Sus scrofa: one gene and its partners. The protein of the gene in region 1 interacts with the protein of each later gene in a pairwise test. Links are inferred from orthologs where the notes say so. Each region holds a gene or a part of one and is shown in the gene's direction. Other genes may lie near its edges. The genes, in order: FHL3, TTLL10 and DCDC2B.

Region 1 (3,744 bases):
AGCCACTGCAACAAGGGATCCCCGACTCACTGAGGGAGGCCAGGAATCAAACCCACATCCTCATGGATACTAGTCGGATTTGTTTCCACTGTGCCACAACTGGGAACTCCCAGTAAACCCTTTCTTGCCCTCATCCAACCAGGCAGTCTTCCCTGCACTCCCCAGGGCTGGGAGTCTCCTACACCTGCAAGATAAGTTCCAGAGCAAGGGTCAACACAGGCACTGGCTGCTTCCTCCCCGGACTCCAGAAGCATATGCCTGCAGTCCAATCCGGGCACCTAAGGGTCCAATGACATGGAAGCAGTGTTTGTCACTCATTCATTCATCAGATATTTATTAAGTGCCAGAATCAGAAGGACCTGGTCCCTGCCCTCATGGCCCTTACAGTTTAGGCATGAGGAACAATGATAATTAACAAGCAGTTAGTTAATTTTGAAAGGAAACCTGGCCTCCAGGGTGTCTTGGGGCCCTCAGGCAGGCATGGGATTCAGAGGTTGGAGAGGAGGGTACTCAGGAGCCCCAGCCTGGGAAGGAATGAGTCTCTGCCCAGGGAGCTTGTTTGGACCCAGCCTGGGGGATGGGAGAGCCTCTCTGGGCACCTGAACCTCTACTCTAGACCCTGAGGTTATTTCCAGGGTTGGTTTGTTGTCTCTTGTTTTGCAAACAGCCCAGCAGAGCCTCCTCCTCCCTCCCCAACCCTTCCAGACCATGGCTATTTATTCCTAGTGACAAGCCTGAGGATCCCAGGGGGGTTGGCCTCAAGGACCTGGAGGGGCCTTGTGTCCCTGGCAGGCGCCAGTCCTCCCTCCCCGCAGGGCAGGACCCAGGGAGGAAGCCAGAAGGTTAGAAACTGCAGAGGTCGGGGAGAAGAACTTCTCTCCACCACCCCTGCAGCGCCCTGTCCATGCACACTCCTCACACTCCTTCCTGAGAAGCTCAAAAACCACGGGGGGGGGGGGGAAGGATTAGGGTATCCCCTGGGCCTCAAAGGTCAAAACTATTCCTGGACACAGTGAAAACCAAGGGAGGATTTCTCTGTTCCACCATGCAGCAGGAGGTGAGGAGGTGGTTACTCGTTTTCACGCTCAGGGTGGGAGAATAAAGCCCTTTGAAGGTCAAGGCCCTCTGGAGGGGGTCCTTGCTTCACTCCTGGTTTCCGCGGAACACCTAGGTTCCCACTTACAGAGCTGTGACAGCAGGGCCAAGCCCCCAGCCCCACCCCCAGGCTGGAATGAGTCCTCTAGTACACCTTCGGGCAGTGTGATCCCTGGGGGTAAACTGGGAGGGGGCGAGGACACGAAGAGGGCATGAGGTCCCCAAATGGACCTTGGTCGGCTGCCTCCTGTATCCTTTGCCCGAGATTGAACACAGCTAACCGCTGGGGGTGGGGGGGGGCCGGGAGAGGGGGCGAGCAAGGAGGGAGGACAGCAAAAGCTGCAGGGAGGGGACAGGGGCGGGGTCCTGGCCGCTCGGGAAGGTTGCGAGAGCCAGGTTAGGCCTGGAAGGCCGAGGGGGCTGGGGCTGGCTCCGATCTAAAAGGGAGGTGGGGGCGGGGTCTGCCCCCCTCCCCAGCCCCTAGCCACGGGGACCTGGGGCCGGGGGCGGGGTCCGCACCCCGCGGGCAGGGGCGGCCGGGGGCGGGGTCCGGGCGGGGCGGGCCCCAGCGCTCACTTCCTCGAGGAGGGGTTGGGGCCGCGCTCCCACTCGCCCACACAGTCCGTGTGCAGCCGGCAGCCTAGCCGGTAGCTCGCTCGGCCCCGCTCGGCCTGGCCCGCAGGTAGGAGCCGCCGAGGGACGCGGCCCCGGCTGCCCGGCCCTCCCTGCTCGAGCGCCGCGCCTCGCTCCCGCCGCCCGCTTCGAGGTGAGCTCCGCGCCGAGCCCCGCTCCCCATCCCGGCTCCCGGCCCTCGCCCTCGGGCGGGAAGGTAGAGGCGACCCACCGGGGGTTCAGAGCAGCCATGGCCCCCGCCTCTTGCCCTTTGCCTCCGCCGGGGTCCGGCCGCGGGCGCCAGGGACGCTCTGGGAGCCGGTGGCGCGGGGGCGCCGAGCCCTGAGGGGCGCCACGGGGACCGCACCGCCCCGGGCCTCCTGGCGGGGCGGGCGCTGCTACGCGAGTTGGGCGGGGGAAGGGGGCCAAGTTTGAAATGGAAAACCAGCGTCGAGAGCTACCGGGAGGGTTCGAGAAACCGGCTTCCAAAAAGCCTGGTGGAGCCAGAAACCGAGACAGCATAAGGAGTGACAAGCTTGGAGAGGAGGCTGCAGAGATTCCCGAAACAGGGACAGAGACTTGGGCGTAGAGTCACCGGGAGGCAGACCCGAGGCGTAGGGACCCCTCCGAGGTTTTGTGGAGCGGAGCATTTTAAGGAAAAGCATGTAATGACCCCAGAGGTGTTGTCGGCCTTTCCCAGAGCCTTGGAAGGTTCTGGGCAAGTGAGGGGCTCCAAAGCTTAAGCTTCATTAGCCTCGTGGTAAAGCAGCCTTGGAGAGGCCTAGAAAGATCCAGAGTCTAGAGTCGGAGACACTCAGGCATAGAGATGCTAAGAGATAGAGAAGGACGGTGGGGGAGGACCAAGACATTCCACCTTTTAGAGACATTGAGATGCCAAGGCTTGGGTGGACGGAGGGAGAAATCCACCGAGGCTGTCGTTGGGAGATGGCCAGTAGAGATACAGAGACATGGAAACATAAAGACAGCTGCCAAAGTGTGCAGACACAGACGTGCTGAGTGGAGCAGAGCTAGACATCAAGAGACAGATGTCATGGAGGCACAGTGACAGCTTCCAAGACAGACCCACGGGACTCAGGCCCAAAAGACTGGGAAGTGAGGATGTGGGGAGACAGAAACTCTAGACCAGTCAATCCCCCATGAGGATCTGAGACAGTAAGACACAGCAAGAAGGAGCCCCATGCAGTCCCCCAATCAGCTCCAACTTATTTTTAAACTCAAATCTTGGGCGCACTGCTTCAGTCCAGGGGGACCCGGGGTGAATGAACTGTTCCTTTCTGTCCCCAGAGCAGCTGCTGGATCCTGCTTCCCACCCCGCCTTCCCCCAAACCGCTCTGACTCCCAGCCCTCATGGGGGGAGGGGAGAGAGCCCGGAGAGTTTGGGGTTGATGCCTAGTTGGGGGGGGAGGGAAGAGTTTGGTTTCTCCCCTCAAGTCTCTTGTGAGCTCCTGTAAGCTGGGGGAGGGTCTGTGCTGATTCTGAGTCACAGCTGTGGGACCTGGCCAGGGTCCTCCTAGACATTGTGGGGGGGAAGGGCAAAGGGGGTTGAGCGGTTGGCATGGGTACTTGGAAAGGCTTCTGGGTGTCTTCCAGTCACAGGGCTGGCAACTGGGGAGAAGAGCCAGGCTCCTGTCCCAGTGATATCACCTAGCATCTCCTGTCCCCCTGCTCTTAAATGCTGACCACCCCCTCAGCCACTGCAACATTTCTAGGGAAAGAGAAACGGACTTCAGGCTGAGAGGCAGGGGACCTAGGATCTCATACCAGAGTGACTTTGGGCATGTCTCTGCCCTGTCCCTGGCCGCCGTGCTCAGCTGTAAAACGGGGATGATGTCCTATCCCGCCTGCCGTTTGGGAGATCTGATTGGTGGTGGGTGGGCGGCATTGCACTTTGTGAGAAGCCAAACAGCACGCTAGTGTCTACTCTTCTGTACCTGTGTTGGAGATTTCAGAGTTACGCTCACTGGTGTCAGACCTGCCCCCACTGGTCTTAGTGAGCACCACGCCTGGGTCTCTTTA
Region 2 (3,744 bases), about 30 Mb from region 1:
CCCCAACCACCAGCGCAGGAGGATCCCTGCGCTTTTACCCAGAGCAGAGCAGCTGCCCAGTGTACCCGAGCCAAGTACATCTAAGCCCAGAGACAGCCTGGCCACCCAGCTGCCCTGGGGAGACGCGTGCGCCCTGCAGCTCTGGCGGGTTAATGATTGGCTGCCTTGCTCCAGGCTGTGGAGGCAACTGAGCACCCAGCCCCAGGCCATCGTGGGAAAGGCCACTGGGCTGGCACCCACACCAGTTTTTTGGGTTATGAGGCAGTTTTTGAGTTTGAGCCTAGATGTCATGATATTGCCACTTGGGCAGCACCCCTCCCAGCGGTGGGGGGTAGTCACAGAGGAGCAGGGGGTGGGCCAGCCCAGCTGGGAGCCTCCGAGGGGCCTGGGTCTCGAAAAGTGATGTGGGAGGGGGCGTGGGCTCCCAAGGGGGACAGTGCAGGGTTCGGGCTCAGGCTGAGGGAGAGCAAGTGGCCTGCGGGTGACCAGGGCCCCACTGCCCCCCGCCAGGTCAGCTCCTAAGATCAGGACAGCCCTCATCAAGGACTTGGCTAGAGGAGCAGCCCCTACCCCCAGGGCAAAGCGTCTCAGCCACAGACTGGCATGACCACACAGGCAGGCAGGTGGCCGGGGCTGCGTCAGGCTCTGACCAGGGTCAGGATGGCCTCCCCCTAGTGGGGGTTGCTGCACGGGACCCTCAAAGTTCGGAGCGGTAAAGGGGTGGATTCACGTCCTGGGGTGGCCACAGAGAGTTACACAAACGCCGTGTGTTCCCTCAGAGTCCCCGGCCAGGAGCCAGGCATCAGCGCCGCACTCCCACCCCAGGCTCCAGGGAGGGTCCTGCCCGCCTCTTCTGAAGCCAGGGCTCAGGGCCTCCCGGGTGTGGCCGCCTCCCTCCAGCCTACTCCCCCCGCCCCCCATCTTCGGTCAGCCTGTCCCCTCTCTGTCCGCCTCCCTCTCGTGAGGACACTGGTCACTGGATGGAGGGCGCATCAGCCAAAGCCCATCGGCAAGGCCCTTCTTCCCAGTGAGGCTGCGGCCGCAGGTTCGGGGCTCAGGACGAGGACACACACGGGGACCGCGTCCACCCCACAAGAAGCACCCTGAGAAGAGACTCTGGTGACTGCAAGGCTTGGAGGGTGGAGGGGGCGCTGGGCAGGGCCCTGGAGGGGAGCCCCCTCCACCCCTTGGGGGGCGCGGTTTCACCAAGTCCCCGCCTCCTGGACCGTGACATGCCAACTCCACACACTGGGGCTGTGACGAGGGGAGAAACAGAGCAGGAAAAGCCCAGTGAGCAGGAAATGTTATGGGGTCAAGTCGGGGTCTGGGCCCGGCTCTGGGGGTTTTGAGAAGGCTCAGGAATGCTCTGGGAGGATGGAGGGCCCAGGCGGACCCCTTCTCCAGCCTCAGTCGCTCCCCACTCCACCCCCGCCCGCCCCTGCGGCGCTAGCCTCCTGCCCCTCCCAATCCACCTGCTCTCCTGGGGCTGTGGTTGCTGGGAGACGGTTGCCTGGTCACCACTGTTGTTTCCCGGGCAGAGGGCTCACACCACCTGGTCGGGCAGGTAAGTGAGACAGGTGGGCCACCGGCAGGGGTCCAGACCCAGCACGAAGGCTGGGGCCTGCCATCCAGTGCCCCCCACCGGGTTCCCCAGGCCCCCAGGAGCCCTGCGGGTCCTCTCAGGACTCTGCCCAGGAGCATAAAGGAGGCGTGGGAGGGGAGGGGAGGGGAGGGGAGGGGCCACCTGACTGGGCAGAGGCCCCCCTGTGGAGGGCCCGCACCCCCAGGGCCGTGGCGTGAGGGACAGAGACCCCCAGGCTGGGCTGAGAAGGTCATGCTTCCCGGGGATGGCAGCCCCTCAGGCCCAGCTCCTTTGCTCAGGACCAGGTCTGTTTCCCAGAGCCAACTCCCAGAAGAACGGCCTCCTAAAGTCCACGGGGAGCCACGTGCCCCCAGGCAGCTCGCCCCAGGCTGGGAGACACCAGACCATCCAGCAAGGTCAGCACCTCCTAGCGGCCCGTGTGGCCAAACGCGTGTTTCAGAGAAGGCTCCTGGCGGGACTCGGACGTCACCTCCACCCCTTGGATGGTTCCTGCAGGTTCGCGAGCGTCTTCTGCTCATCACACAGGGGCGCCCTTTCCTGCCGGTCTTTTTACCTGACCAGGTAAAAAGTTTACTTACAAATTCATTAGAAAGTTGTTTCCACTGAACCCCCCCCCCCCCGCTCTTCTGCAGCACGTCTGGGGACATGCCCACATTTTGCCACCATACATAACACCCTGTGAACGTCATTCCGCGTGAAGATTTGTTACCATATTTAGAACTGGTCCCTCCGAGAGTCTGAGAAATGCCACTGCTCAGCAGAGCCTCTCAGAACGTCGCTCTGAGCCCTGCGCCCGCCTGCCCTGCTCCCCGTGCTGTGGCCCCGCCGGCCACACCCTGCAGCCCCGGCCCGGTGCCCCCGCCCGTGTGTGTCCCCGGGTCTTTTCCTTTTCTTAATCGTTGCTGATTTGAATAACAAGAAATGGCAATTCACGACCTGTTTAATACTCTTTGAAAGCAATCAAACAACTGGAGTTAAGACACGTCAAATAGAGGCACAGGCTCATAAGGCTTGTGTTGAAAGCCAACGCCCCGTGCCCATCTCCAGGCTCCCGTTTCTGGGGCGTGCCCACTGCAGCATCTGGCTGACACCACAGAAGTTACCCATCAGTGTGGGGGGCACCCACACCACCCACATTCACAGCACAACACAAAGAACGCTGCCTCCAGGCTGGCCGCCTTGCTTGGCACTGGCTGGCCCTCTCATCCTCATTACCACCTGGGCCCTCCTTGAATAGGCGTGACCAGGCAGGCGTCTGCACACGTCCCATGCAGGAACTGTCTTCACAGCAACCTCACCAGAATGCTGTGACCCCCCCAGCCAACCCCGCAGTGGGGACATGAGCACAGAGCTGACCCATGCCACAGTCCCAGCTCCCTTCCCTGGGCCCACCCCTCTGGAGAGAGCCTGCCTCAGGAATCCCCTGAGGGAGGTCTGGAGGCATCACACCCCGCTGGCTGGTCACACCCGGCTGGCTGGCGGCGGGAGCCTTGCCTCCTGCGCTGAGATGTCTCCGGCTGGGTCCCCAGACTCAACAGTCACCCACTTCCTTCTGGAATTCTCCTTTCCAGCCCATTCCCTTGCCATGAACTTCTGACACTTCTCCCGTATCCTGAGTTTCCAGAGCTCTGCCCCAGTCTCTGTCCCTTGGTTCTAACCGTCCCGCCCCCTGGCGGTGGAAGCTGGTCCCGCCTGGCATGTCCCCAGGGCTGTTTCCCGAGCCTCGTCCCCTCTCTTCCTCTGAGCCTGGCTGTGTGCGGCTGTGTCTGTGTGTGTGTGTCCACCTCTGGTTCACACCTGGGGGCCTCCCTCAGATGCCTGTGGATGCAGTGGCCACTCACGTAAAGAGTGCTGGGGGATGGCGCTGACCGGCATTCACGTGGGGGTCCCATGTGCCGGCAGCGGGTGGGTCTCCCAGGCAGCGTGCGGAGTCACGCGCAGGGGCGCACGCGCACACACGCACCCTCCCTGCAGGCTCAGACCTGCCCCCCAGCCAAGCTGGCCCAGTCCAGCCCCCACAGAGAAGCCCTCCTGTTCTGGGGGGTGGGGCTGGGGAGGGGGCTCCGGGTCATCCGCACAGCTCGGCCACACTCGGCAGGGGTGTGAGACCCTCCCAGCGCCTGCTCAGCCCCCGCAGCCAT
Region 3 (3,744 bases), about 5.3 Mb from region 1:
TCAATAGCCGTAAGGAGGTAGGCACTAACTTGAAGGCCTTTCTGCACATTTAGGGCCAAGGGTGGGGTTGGGGAAAAGCCTCTTGCCAGACCCAAGCAGGCCTGCCTGATACAGTGTCTGTTCTCCTCCTCAACAGTACCTGATTCTCAAACAAACACTGAACTCTTCAGAGGTGAACCAGACCAGAGACAAGCCCTGCATGTGCCCAGACCATGGGGGTCAGGGCTGTGAGAAAGGAGAGTCACAACCAGTCCCACCACTGGAAGATCAGTCCTCTAGAGCCAGGCCCACTGGAGAGCCAGACCATGTGGATGACTCCTGCTGGAGACTCAAATCACAGCCCCACAGATCCCCAGAAAGACTGGCCACTACAGACAGAACCACTGCTGGGGCCAAGTACAGGGACTCAGGCTATAGGCGGACGGGACCACAGCTGCCCATACTATCAGATAACCAGGCCGTAGGGAAGAGGTTCAACAAAGAGCCAGACGCTGGGGAACAGATCTTTGGAGGGACCTGCCTGCAACTAACAGAACTTCTAGAGAACCAGACCCCCAAAGGCCTCAAACCTAGGGGCTACTGTTCTGGAAAAGCCAGGACACAGCTGCCCACACTCTGCGAGGACCCATACATTGAAGGCAAGTCTCCCAGAGGGCCAGACCAAAAAAAGCCTGATGGCCAAAAAACTAGACCACGAGAGTTGGGCCTCTCAGAGGACCACGTCATCTGGGATGGGTCTTTGGCAGAGCATGGTGGCCTGGATCTCTGGAAGAATAAACCACCCAAGAGCCAGACCTCCAGTGATAAAAGCTCCAGAGATAGGACCTCCAATGAATCTAGTCATGAAGGGTGGAAAACCCAGAAGACTGTACCGTGGAAATCAAGGCCACCTGAGAAACTGTCTTCCACAGGGTCAGACCACACAGCAGAGGACCACTGGAGGGGCAGGCCGTGGAAAACAGGACCACCAGGATAGACCCTACAGAACCAGGGAGGACCAGGTTCCAAAGGGGGATGCTGTAAAAGGGCAACGAGGGAGACAGGACCTCATCCTAACTCCCTGGTACCAGCTCTGCCTCCTGCCCCTGGCCATTGGGAGGTAATGAGGCAAAGAGAAGCTAGAGCACAGGGCTGGCACCCGCGGGGGGAATGGAAGGAGGAGGATGCTCTTATCCTCAGCCTGTGGCTCAATCCAAATTTGGGGACAGGGAGGTACCTGGGGTGAGTGAAGTTGGCAGGCCTGATGGAGAATAAAGGTTTTCCTTAGCTTCTGAGCCTGGTTGCATTCATTTCTGCCTCTGGTTAAGAGACTCTGGGCCCTCTTGTTTGCTTCCTGCTGACATGAGGCATCTTCCCCAGAGCTGGCTGGGAGCCACAGCCCAGAAGTAGACTAGCTATCTTTGGGGAACAGCCTCCAAAGCTAATCTTCCTTTAAGCTTAGCCCTCCGGGCTACAGAGTGGCAGGGAGGCTCTGAGAATCCTTCCCACCTCCCAGTATGGGACATGGGTGTTTCAGTGTGATCTCTGCCACTGCCTCTCTCACTGCGCCCCTGGCTCTTCCTTCGTATACAGTCATCACATCTGTCCAACTCTTGTGAGGCCCTGCCAAGAGCTGAATGCATGAGACCCTGACTGCAGACACACGCTCCTGTGGAGGCTCTCCCTGCCTTTCTGGGTGAGAGGGCAGGACTCCACCTCTGATGAGCGCTGCTCCCAGCCCTGCCTTAGTTGCCTGGCAACAGCTCGGCGTCTCTAGCCAAGGAGACACACTATGGCTGGTGGCAGGTCAGCAGCCAAGAGGGTAGTGGTGTACCGGAACAGGGACCCCTTCTCCCCAGGCCACCAGCTAGTGGTGACTCAACGCCGCTTCCCCACCCTGGAGAGCCTCTTCTGTGAGGTGACAACAGCTGTGCAGGCCCCACTAGCTGTGCGGGCTCTCTACACGCCTTTTCATGGCCACCCTGTCACCAACCTGGCAGACCTGCAGAACGGAGGGCATTATGTGGCTGCTGGTTTTGAACAATTCCGCAAACTCTCGTGAGTGGGCTGGGAGTGGTCAAAGAGGCTGGGGAGGGAGGTAACAGCAATAGCAACAGCGTGTATTCAGTACGTAATTGTGTGCCTTGGGAGTTCCCGTCGTGGCGCAATGGTTAACGAATCCGACTAGGAACCATGAGATTGAGGGTTCGATCCCTGGCCTTGCTCAGTGGGTTGAGGATCTGGCGTTGCAGTGAGCTGTGGTGTAGGTTGCAGACACAACTCGGATCCCTCGTTGCTGTGGCAATGGTTAACGAATCCGACTAGGAACCATGAGGTTGAGGGTTCGATCCCTGGCCTTGCTCAGTGGGTTGAGGATCTGGCGTTGCAGTGAGCTGTGGTGTAGGTTGCAGACACAACTCGGATCCCTCGTTGCTGTGGCTGTGGTGTAGGCTGGCGGCTACAGCTCCAATTAGACCCCTAACCTGGGAATCTCCCTATGCTGCGGGAGTAGCCCTAGAAAAGGCAAAAAGACGAAATTAATTAATTAATTAAAAAGAAAACAAAAAACAACTGTCTTGTGGAGTATGGCAACCCCATGAAGGGGTGGTCTTATCCCCGTTCTTTGCAAGGGGAAATCAAGATAGTGAAATAACCTGCCTGAGAGTATACAAGTAACAAAAGTGGACCCATGGTTCAAGTCAGAGTGACACTGATGTTCATGCCGGTGGGAAGAGGAACACTCCCACTGGTTGAGCCCCTTTTTCCAAAGGCTCTTCTTAACTGGATCCTCTGCCCCCATCACCAGCACCACCAAATACTCTAATCCATCCAGCACTTCCTCCTTGCTGCATTTAGACACCAACTACTCTCCATTTAGGCTGGGATCACCCTTTACAGGGTGGGTCTGTGCTTTCCAAGATGGGAGAACAATCTGAACAACTGAGCTTCCAACTCAGATCTGGCTTCCAGGGTCTTCCTCGGCTTTCAGCTGACATTGCTCACTGTAATGGAAGGAGCATGGAGTTGGGAGCTAGACAGACTTAGAATCTGGGCTCTGTCATTTCTGTGTCACTTAGGTGAGTCACTGAAGTTACTCTCAGTCTCACATAAAATGAGATAAAACCACCTACACCTCATGAATGTGGAAATTTGAGACAGTAGGATCTCAGCCTTTAATGTTGTGGTTTGTTGTCTAAGATCCCAGTCTGGATGTTCAGCCTGATACAGGGCCTAAGGCAGGTTCAAATGTCAGCATCTGGAGTTCCCGTCTGACTCAGCGGAAACAAATCCAACTAGGAACCATGAGGTTGCGGGTTTAATCCCTGGCCTTGCCCAGTGAGTTAAGGATCTGGCATTGCCATGAGATGTGGCATAGATCGCAGACACGGCTCGGATCTGGGCTGTGGCTGTGGCGTAGGCCCATTGCTGTAGCTCCGATTTGACCCCTAGCCTGGAAACCTCCATATGCCACAGGTGCAGCCCTAAAAAGACAAATAAATAAATAAATAAAACAAGTGTCAGCATCTGTTTCTGGATTGCTGACTGAGACTATTCTACTTGGAAGGGAGACCTGGTAAGCTGGACCCCAGCCCTGCACTCTGGTAGCTGCTTGGTTGTTGCGATCCCAGGCTCTCCGAGATGACCTGTGATCTGTCTGTCCTTTCAGCTATTTATCCCCCGGGAGGAAGGATCCAGGTGGGACGAGCAGCAGACTACCAGTGAGTCCTGGGGCAGGCTGTCCCCTGCCCAGTCCTCCCGCCCCTC

What was found.
Region 2: the proteins of FHL3 (region 1) and TTLL10 interact in binary tests that used the Homo sapiens proteins (3 or more experiments, as listed by UniProt). The two-hybrid records come from large-scale screens. The link is inferred for Sus scrofa from reciprocal best matches to the Homo sapiens genes FHL3 and TTLL10.
Region 3: the proteins of FHL3 (region 1) and DCDC2B interact in binary tests that used the Homo sapiens proteins (3 or more experiments, as listed by UniProt). The two-hybrid records come from large-scale screens. The link is inferred for Sus scrofa from reciprocal best matches to the Homo sapiens genes FHL3 and DCDC2B.

Annotation. Positions count from the first base shown.
Region 1 is NC_010448.4:93,985,829-93,989,572, reverse strand, and holds the start of FHL3 (four and a half LIM domains protein 3), read left to right. Parts: upstream 1-1,004; 5' UTR 1,005-1,045; coding exon 1,046-1,057; intron 1,058-1,707; exon of another isoform or gene 1,708-1,861; intron 1,862-3,744. UniProt on the Homo sapiens protein: Recruited by SOX15 to FOXK1 promoters where it acts as a transcriptional coactivator of FOXK1.
Region 2 is NC_010448.4:63,493,338-63,497,081, forward strand, and holds the start of TTLL10 (inactive polyglycylase TTLL10), read left to right. Parts: upstream 1-1,421; 5' UTR 1,422-1,834; coding exon 1,835-1,998; intron 1,999-2,098; coding exon 2,099-2,164; intron 2,165-3,744. UniProt on the Homo sapiens protein: Inactive polyglycylase.
Region 3 is NC_010448.4:88,684,524-88,688,267, forward strand, and holds the start of DCDC2B (doublecortin domain-containing protein 2B), read left to right. Parts: upstream 1-1,334; 5' UTR 1,335-1,771; coding exon 1,772-2,037; intron 2,038-3,646; coding exon 3,647-3,698; intron 3,699-3,744. Other genes in the region: IQCC (IQ domain-containing protein C), read left to right, coding at 1-17, 137-976.